2 linked regions of the Mus musculus genome follow. The protein of the gene in region 1 binds, or shares a complex with, the protein of each later gene. Links are inferred from orthologs where the notes say so. Each region holds a gene or a part of one and is shown in the gene's direction. Other genes may lie near its edges.

Evidence for each region.
Region 2: the proteins of Aifm1 (region 1) and Chchd4 are in contact, whole or in part, in a cryo-EM structure (PDB 9GQZ), measured with the Homo sapiens proteins. The link is inferred for Mus musculus from reciprocal best matches to the Homo sapiens genes AIFM1 and CHCHD4. Residues at the interface, in NP_004199.1 of Homo sapiens: Pro345, Tyr347, Ser500, Ser501, Leu502, Pro503, Thr504, Val505, Gly506, Val507, Phe508, Ala509, Lys510, Glu558, Asp559, Tyr560, Asn602, Ala605, Lys606, Phe608, Asn609, Ile610, His611; in NP_001091972.1 of Homo sapiens: Arg5, Glu7, Lys9, Asp10, Arg11, Ile12, Ile13, Phe14, Val15, Thr16, Lys17, His20, Thr22, Pro23.

The regions. Positions count from the first base shown.
Region 1 is NC_000086.7:48,510,510-48,514,938, reverse strand, and holds the start of Aifm1 (apoptosis-inducing factor 1, mitochondrial isoform 1 precursor), read left to right. Parts: upstream 1-1,375; 5' UTR 1,376-1,600; coding exon 1,601-1,703; intron 1,704-4,429. UniProt on the Homo sapiens protein: Functions both as NADH oxidoreductase and as regulator of apoptosis.
Region 2 is NC_000072.6:91,470,318-91,474,708, reverse strand, and holds the start of Chchd4 (mitochondrial intermembrane space import and assembly protein 40), read left to right. Parts: upstream 1-1,285; 5' UTR 1,286-1,371; coding exon 1,372-1,393; intron 1,394-4,391. Other genes in the region: Tmem43 (transmembrane protein 43), read right to left, coding at 811-822.

The DNA.
Region 1 (4,429 bases):
GTGTAGCCCTGGCTGTCCTGGAACTCACTTTGTAGACTAGGCTGGCCTCGAACTCAGAATTCCACCTGCCTCTGCCTCCCGAGTGCTGGGACTAAAGGTATTGTCACCATGCCCGGCTTATAGCTTTTCATCCTTAAGTCCAACTGTCTCCAGGTCAGTTGAAGCCAACTGGGTGACTTGTCCAAGTAGCAGAGGCAGGATTAAACCTAGGTCCTTATGGAGGAGAAATATGTTTATGGAGGTCAATATGTTTAAACCCTAAAAATATTACTTTTGGCCTCAATGCATTTACCCTCTGAAATACTATTCTTTCTCTTCCACTAGTGACTCTGTCCCAAACTCCTTCCTTGCAGTGGCTCTGTGATAGGTATCATCTAAATGACAATAGATCCCATTACAGTGATCACTTTCCATGTTTTTATATCCACAGAAGCCTCTATATAGTACTGTTCCATAATAAGGGACAGGGCATCTTCACCAGGAAGCCTTGGCAGGCTTGATATGAACAAGGCTGGCCTCAAATTTCCTTGCTGTCCGTCTGTCTCTGTCTCTGCCTCTGTGTCTGGGAGTTCAGGTGTTAGGCCACTACACACAGTTTCCATAAATACTTAATCTGCAATTCAAAACTCCCACAGGAGAGCAAAATATCTACTTTCTCTCAGTTCTCACTCTGTATCTCCCACAACTTTCTAAGTCCTGCTTAGAATTTCTTTCACAGAAAATTTGTCAGGCACAAACTTTTTTGTCAGCTTTCTCTTCTCAAGCACGAAAGCCATAATAGCGCGAGACTATCCACAACACTTGATACATATGACAGTGATAACGGAGATATAACACGTGAAGTACACGTCCCACTCCATCCCGCCTCCCCCCCACCTCCGAAAAAAAAAAAAGAAACCAAAAACAAACAAACGAACAAACCGGGCTGCTCAAGAAATGGCCAGTTAGTTTTAAAACATGGATGGAATTTATTCAGGATTCAGGAAGTCGGGTGTAATGACTAAGACTGGGGGAAAGACTAGAATTGGATCACAGAAAGAGATTCAGAAAGGCTTAAATGCCGGCTAGCTAGTTGCCTAAAACGCACAAAAAAAAAAAAACAAAAAACAAAAAACAAACCAGAAAGTAAAGTTCTCAGGTCAGTTTTGGTGACCGTTTTGCTAGCAGTCCCCATTACCTACACAGCGGCTGCCCCACCCGCTGCCTCCGGGCAGGAGTGTCCCTTGTCCAGGTTTCTTAAGCGGCTCAACCTACTACAGGGCCGCTAACTCTGGGAAACTTGCAAATGCGGAGGCGGGGCCCGGGGCTTTGCAGCGCGCGTGCCGCCGGACGCATGCGCCGACCTCCTCGCTGTGGGACCAATTGCAGTGCGGTGCTGAGTCTTACGCCTGCGCAGTGGGTCTCCAGCCTCAGTGCCTTTCCCCCTGGCTCTAGTGGGCCGGTTCCTCTATCCAATGTCCACTCGGGGCTGGGAGGAGGAGCCTGCGTAGTGTGCGTGTGACGGGAGGGGGAGCGGACCCGAGCCCGTGGTATTCGACCCGTTCGACGGTGCGTGGAAGGAAAAGGAAGGAGCGGGAGCTTCCGAGGAGTGATCGCCGAAATGTTCCGGTGTGGAGGCCTGGCGGGTGCTTTCAAGCAGAAACTGGTGCCCTTGGTGCGGACGGTGTACGTCCAGAGGCCGAAACAGAGGAACCGGCTTCCAGGTGACTAGCTGACCTGTCCCAGGCAACCCCTTATCCTACTTCAAAGTCCAATGGCCTAGGTGCCATGGGCTCCCCATCCCTCGCAGAGCTCCCCTGTCCTTCAAAAAAAAAGAACTTTCTTTCACAGTCTCAAGAATCTCCAAATTGGCGGGATATAAACCCAAGAGTTTCCAAGCTGAGGAATAGGCATACTTATGCCGGCCTGACCTTCAAGAGATTTGAACCCCAGAAATCAGCATGAGGCCTTCTTCTGGGAGGCTTTGCGATTTGGGGATAACAGAACGCTTGGCTATAACAGACCATATTGCCCATCCTCTGCCACCTTGCCTTTTTTAAAGCATTGAGGTCAGATGGATGTTGTCATTTAGTGGTTGGGACACAGTCACAAGTTTCTCCTGGAACTCAGATTATCTGCTTTACCTCCCAAAACTCCACGTGAGAGCTGTACATTTGATTGTCCTACGACGTGGCAATGGTGTATCACCAGTAGAAACTGTATGTCAGATATCAAGAGAATTAGCTCAGATTGCCTTGAGATGGCCAGATAGTTGAATTCCTGGTGGTGGGCTTACACGCTTCAATGAACGTTTTTCGATCCCCCTCTATTTGTTCTCTGGGAAGTTGTCTCATCAAACTTTAGAGCTGGAAGGAATTTTGTGGTCAACACCAACCCATTCATTTTATGGATAATAAATTGAGGAACAAAGAGGTGAAATTACTTGCAGAAGGTCACATAATTAGTAGGTAGAGCTAAAGCTACTCTGCTAGTCTCTAGGCCCCTGATCCTATTGCTACACGCCAATCCTACTTCCTAAAGTTTGACCTGAAACAGTTAAGAATGAATTCGCTTCTCTTTCCACTAATTAGCCCATTGTGCTTCTGATATCCATGGGTTTATCTGAGCATGGTTTGAGTCATCATCTTTTCTACCTATACAGATTTGTGGGAATGAATGCCCCCCCTCCACAATCTCCAAGGTGTATTTTTAAATCAACATTTTAAAAAATCATCATCCTAGTGTAATTACATTTATAATATCAAATGTTACCCTGGAGTCTTTTTTGAAGTTCAGATGCCTTTTCTGTAGTTTAGGAATAAGAAGTGGAAATACTTTTTGATTGTTAGGACCTTTGCAAATGTGTTTGGATAGTTTGTCCACTTCGTACATGTCAAGAAAAAATTCTTAATGGGTGTTATCTGCTGGGTATGGTGACATATGACTTTAATCCTAGGACTCTGGAGGCAGAGGCAGCAGATCTCAGAGAATTCAAGGCCATCCTAGTGTACATAGGAATCTCTAAGTCAGTCACGGCTATATAGTTGCCCATCTCAAAAAAGTCAATGTTATCCCAGTTACCTCTTGGAACTTAAGAATTTCTGTTTTAGAAAAAAAGCCACCTCTAGTTTTCCTAAAAACCCAGTGAATATAATTCTAATTTGTGTGAGTTCTGTACTTGGAAGCACTGGTGCTCTATGTAAATTGTGGAGAAATATTTAAAAATTTAGACAACCCAAAGATACTACCCTTTCTAATATTGTGCACTTATTTTGCTAAATACATAGCTTTTTACCAGAATTCTGGTGGCTAACCAAATGTTCTCATCAATTAAATATTCATTTGATTATAACATTAGATCTGTGGAAAAATACAGGACTGAAATGCCTTTTCCCCACTGCATGGCTGCGGTTGAAGGCCTCTCCTGTAGAAAATACCAGGACTTCCTGCAATACCCATCCATCTTTTTGCACACACTTCTTTGTCCATGTACCAGCGGATGACATCACCTGCTTTAAAAATGAGTGGGGGGTAGGGAATACAGTTTCCAAAAGAAATGATGGTAATGTCATTGTAGGAATGAATGTTTTATGGCTCATTTGCCAGTTGCCTTTAATCTGATTTCAGTTTCACATAACAGCATCTGCCCTATGTTTTCACAGAGGTGGGTAAGAGACAAGGTCTATGTACCACTTTGCCCTCTTTTATCCCCTCCCCCAATGCTTTGCCAGGTTGTTAGCAGTCTTTCTTCTTTGCTTTTATTTTTCTTGTTTTAGTAAACCTTGAAGCCTGCATTAGAACGGCGTCATCTACGTTTCTCACCATTGTAAAGCTCATTTCCATCACACCTGGCTTTTTGTCTTGAAACCTCAATACCTGCTGTTCGGCTTTATTTGGATTTTCTGCCTCTTTCTAGAAATGATTAAGGGTAACTCAATCACAACTCTGTGCCTGCATCTATTACTGGGCAGCAGAAGGGGTTGATAATAAATATTTTGTGTTCTATAATATTTTATTTATTCACCAAACATTATGCTGCCTATTGTGATCAAACTGATCACTTAACTCCCTGACCTAAGGTTCAAATACTTACATTTTTCTTTCTTTGGAATCATAGTATCTTTTTTTGGAGACAGAATCTATTATGCTGCTCTGATTGTCCTGGAACTCACTGTATAGAGCAGGTTGGCCTCATGGAGGTCTGCCTGGATCTGCCTTCTCAGTGCTGGGATTAAAGGTGGTCACCAATAGCTTGTCTTGAATCTTTGCATCTTTAAAGAAGAAACTGAGCTCTTGGTGGCCTAGAATCCTAGATTGTGGGTAGTGCCAAATGGCACATTGATACTTTGAGACAAGATCTTGGTATGTATTCCAGTTGTTACAACTCACTGTGTAGCTAAGTATAATCTTGATCTCATGGTCCTTCTTCTGTCTTAGCCTCTAGAGTTCT
Region 2 (4,391 bases), on another chromosome or scaffold:
CTTGCACAGTGGGTGAAACAAACTCCGGCCTCCCAGGAGGTGAAGTCTGCCGGACTGAGGAGGGGCCTGGGAAGAGGGTGTAACAGGCCCAAGGAGGGCTGTAGTGACACTCTACCAAGGAGGGAGTAAGGGTGTGCCTGGGGCTGGCAGTGCTCCTGAGATGGCTTCAGAGGCGCTTTCACCAGAGGCACTGGTGACTCACCGGCTTCTCCCACACCCAGTCCCCTAGTAGGTGGTGTTGCTCCGTTTGTTGAATGAATGTTAAGATTCACTAGGAAAATTCTTAAGGACTAGTTGCAGTAGGAAGAGGCCAGAGGTCTGGGTGAACTATCCTCAGCTAGGGGCTCTAACCAAATCAGTGCACCAGGAACCCGGCAGCAGAGAAAAGTCTCCCTCTCCACGTCATCCAGCCAGGCTAGTCCAGCTACAGTAGCATCACACAGCCTTTGAGTACACACCCCCTAGGGAGCGAAGACCAAAGAAGCATTTGCTGGACAGTTCCACCTGGGCAGGATCACCTCATCAGTCTGCTCACCAATAGACACTTTCCCCGTGGTCCTTCAGTTCCCCAAGTTCCCCAAGTTTCGTATCCCCAGGGGCCCAGAGAGAAACTAGGAGTGGAAGAAGCAGCCGTGCACGAGCGGACTCGACTAATTGCTGAGGCCCACAAACGCGCAGCCCGAGATGGAGAAGCTCAGAGAGCTGAGGGCAGCTGCACCCACTGGGGTAGCACCCCTGTAAGACCCAGCGCGGATCCAGGGAAAAAGCGGCCCGGATGATGGTGTCACCCGGGCATCAGGAAGCACTTACGTTCGCTGCCATGGTGGGCTTGGTTCGCTGCCGCCGTCTTGCTCTATTCCGCTAGGAATTGGGCTGACGACCGGAACGCAGAATACGGTGACCTCCTGTCTGCCACAGAGCTGCAAGACTTCTCGTGGAATCCAGGACCTGGCGGGACGCAGGACAAAAGTTACCGCCCTGCCTAAGCCTCAAGTTGTCTGCGCGTGCGCATCTTAAGGGCTGCTGGGAAATGTAGTCCGACGTCTGACACGTTCGCCACAAAATTACAAACCACTGTATTTCACTGGTGCGCGTGCGCGCTGCAAGATTTCTGGGAAATGTAGTATCGGTCTAGTTGGAGAGGCGCAAGGGCTGCTGGTCAGTGTAGTTTTCGACTGAGAAGCGGTTCTGGTGCTTAGGACGCGCGGAGGCAGGCGCGCGGCGGGCAGGCCTGGAGGGGGCGGGTCTGTGCGGGCCTCAGTGCCACCCGCCAGGCCTGAGAAGCGGCGAGGGAGGTCACGGCGAGAAGGTGTATCCGCTCCAGCCGCGCCCGCTGCCTCTGCGAGCTGCAGAGGACTGTCGGGAACAACCATGTCCTACTGCCGGCAGGAAGGTGAGTCGGGCGCTGCCATGGAGACCGGCCGGGACGGGCCTGCGAGAGACACGCGATCAAGTGGTCTCCACCGAGCGGCTGTGGGCCCTTTAGTGGGCCTCACGCGGCGGTTTCCAGACGAGAGAGGCAGAGGCTCCGTGAGGAACGAGGCCGGTCCAAGGTCAAGGTGAAGCCCGAACCCGGGCCTCGGAGGGCCTCACGTGGGCCTGGCCAGTGTGGAGCACGTTGTCTCTGGCTGGGAATCGGGGACTGTTAGGAATTAGACACCGTCGCTCCTAGCACTCCCCACGTGGTTCTATCCCGCCCAGGCTTTTTAGCTATCCCGAAAAATTACCGCTTGGGCTAGAGTGGGCGTGCTGAAGTGCATCTGGCAGGAGCATTTAGTGAGCGCCTTCTGTGTACTAGGCACGCTTTTAAACTTAACGTAGCCATTTTTATATGTCGGGTTCCCTTACTGTCCACGTCTTATCAAACGGAAAATTAAGACAGGTTACTCGATCCAGGAACCCACATCAGGTCACGAAACCGGGACCCGCTATGAAAGAGCTTCCTTTCTTCCGTCATTTCTAGCCACGTTGAGGACCACTCACTACCTGTTGTTACCTGTAAGCAGCAACCCAGAAGAATCCAGACCAATCTGTTGCTCTAAGGTCTCCCAGCACTGACTGGCTTCTTATGTCTGAGCTGCCAAACCCGCCAGGCCCTAGTTTCCACTCCTGTAAATTGAGAGATCAGGCGTCATTTACTCTGGTATTCACGAAGCACGTGCCCAAGGCAGGAAAGAGTTGGAGGGCTCTTGAGAATACAAAGCTACAGAGAGACTTGGTTCACCCAGAATTCTCAGCTCCTTTACTCTTAAGTCTAGAGAACATGAGGTACAAAGGAGGAAGTGATCCACCCAAGGCCATACATCCAGTTAGAAGGCCCCAGTCCGCTGTAGAACCCCCTCCTTCCCAGCATCATCATTGGTGCCTCTCCCGAGGACTGTTTCTGTTGGTTAGCACTTGGTGTTCCGCATACGAAAGTCCTTGACCCAGCACTGTTAGGCGGATTCCTAGGATGACTTTTGTTTCCTCCAACCTAGTTGGTAGGTTGATGACGAGTCTTTGAGTTAAGGAGGCTATGCAGATAAACATTTCTACCCCTCTTGATGGATTTACAGACCTCGGGTTTTTCAGGAAGGAGGATGGGTCCATCAGCTGCTAATGCAACATAGAGCCCGTCTTCTTCCTGGTTCAAAAGGTGTGTGTGTATGTGTTTAGTGGTTCTCCGTTTTTGAGACAGTCTCAGTATGTGCCCCTAACTCAAATTCTTCTCTTCGTCCCAAATTCTGGAATTAAAAACACATGCCGCTACCTACAGTCTCTGTGAGTTCAAGGCCAGTGTAAAATAAATTGCATGTTCCAGGCCTGCCAGAGCTACATAGTGAGATCCTGTCCAAAAACAAACCAAAAAATAGTATGTAAGGACTTAGGAGACCATGCGGTGTTATTCTTCCAGTCTCATGTTCTTCCTCCTGCTCCTCAGCTCTTCTGGCTGTGCCCTTTGTCAGGTGCTTTCTTCCTCCAGCTCTCTGAATTGCTAACTTATCCTTTAAGAACCAGCCCAAAGCCGGGCGTGGTGGCACATGCCTTTAATCCCTCACTTGGAAAGCAGAGGTGTGTGGAGTCCTCTGAGTTCTAGGACAGCCAGAGCTATTTTACAGGGAAAACCCTGTCTCAGGAAAAAAAAAAAAAAAAAAAAAAAAAAAAAAAAAAAAAAAAACAAGAGAAATGGGCAGGAGACATGGCTCAGTGGTTAAAAGCACTGACTGCTCTTCCAAAGGTCCTGAGTTCAATTCCCAGCAACCGCATGGTGGCTCACAACCATCTATAATAGAATCTGATGCCCTCTTCTGGTGTGTCTGAAGACAGCTACAATGTACTCATATAAATAAATAAATCTTTTTAAAAGAGAAAGAAAACAAGCAAAAAACCCAGCTTCAATGCCACCAGGTCTTCCCTGATACTTTGTGTCTCTATAAACACACTGAAATTATCTCCCACCAAGCTGAGAGATGGCAGAAGGCCTAGTATACTGTGGGTGTTCAGGATTTAATAGAGTGACCCCAGGCTCATGCCTATCCACCATTCTAATTAGGCAAATGGTTGCCTGGACAGTTATGTCAACAGTCCATACATCTAGTCAGTCTCCAGGTTAAAGACCTCATTGACATTAAGAGAGTCCCACCGTGTGGATGAAGCCTCAGTCTGGCCTTGTGCTCTTGGTGTTTCTGTCAATTCCACACATGGTTCCTTACTTTCCTCCTAATAATAAACAGCCTGCCTCTTTCTGTTCATTCAGCAAACTTTTTTTATTGCAGTGTGATGTGCACTGAGTGAGGTGGCACTTTGGATCTTTACAGAACAAGAAGAAGTTGGCATTAAAGCACTCCGGGATGGATGGGTAGTTACAGACAGCAGGAACTGTGCTGAGACACTGAGGTTCTGCAGGGGTTGCCAGGGCTTGGAAGACCATTTCAGATGCTCTTTCCTCAAACCCTTCCCAGTCTTCAGACCAGGAGAGAATGAACACTGGCTTCTTAGAGCCACCTTTTGCCTCAGGTTTCACTTGGTCTTGAGTTCCTAATCTTTCCTCTACCTCTTTTAGGACTTGTGCGGGCTACTGTGCCTCCTTTATTTAGTGCAGGGATCAAACTTGGACTTTTGTGAGCATGCTCAGCCAGCATACTACAGACTGGGTGATGGCCCCAGTCCTTTTAAACTATCCTATCCCCGGATGGACTCCCAACCCTGGGATTTCCCACCCCACCCTCCACCCCCACTTTCTGTAGACATTCCCTACCCTAGTCAGTTCTTCTCCACTTGATACATGTAAGCTCTGACTTGCTTCCCCCTCAAGTCCTGATACAAGCAGAAAGTATTGAAAGTGTATGGGTATAATAGTTATTTTCCTTTTAAAAAAGGTTTAATTTTTGCATATAAATGTTTTGCCTGAC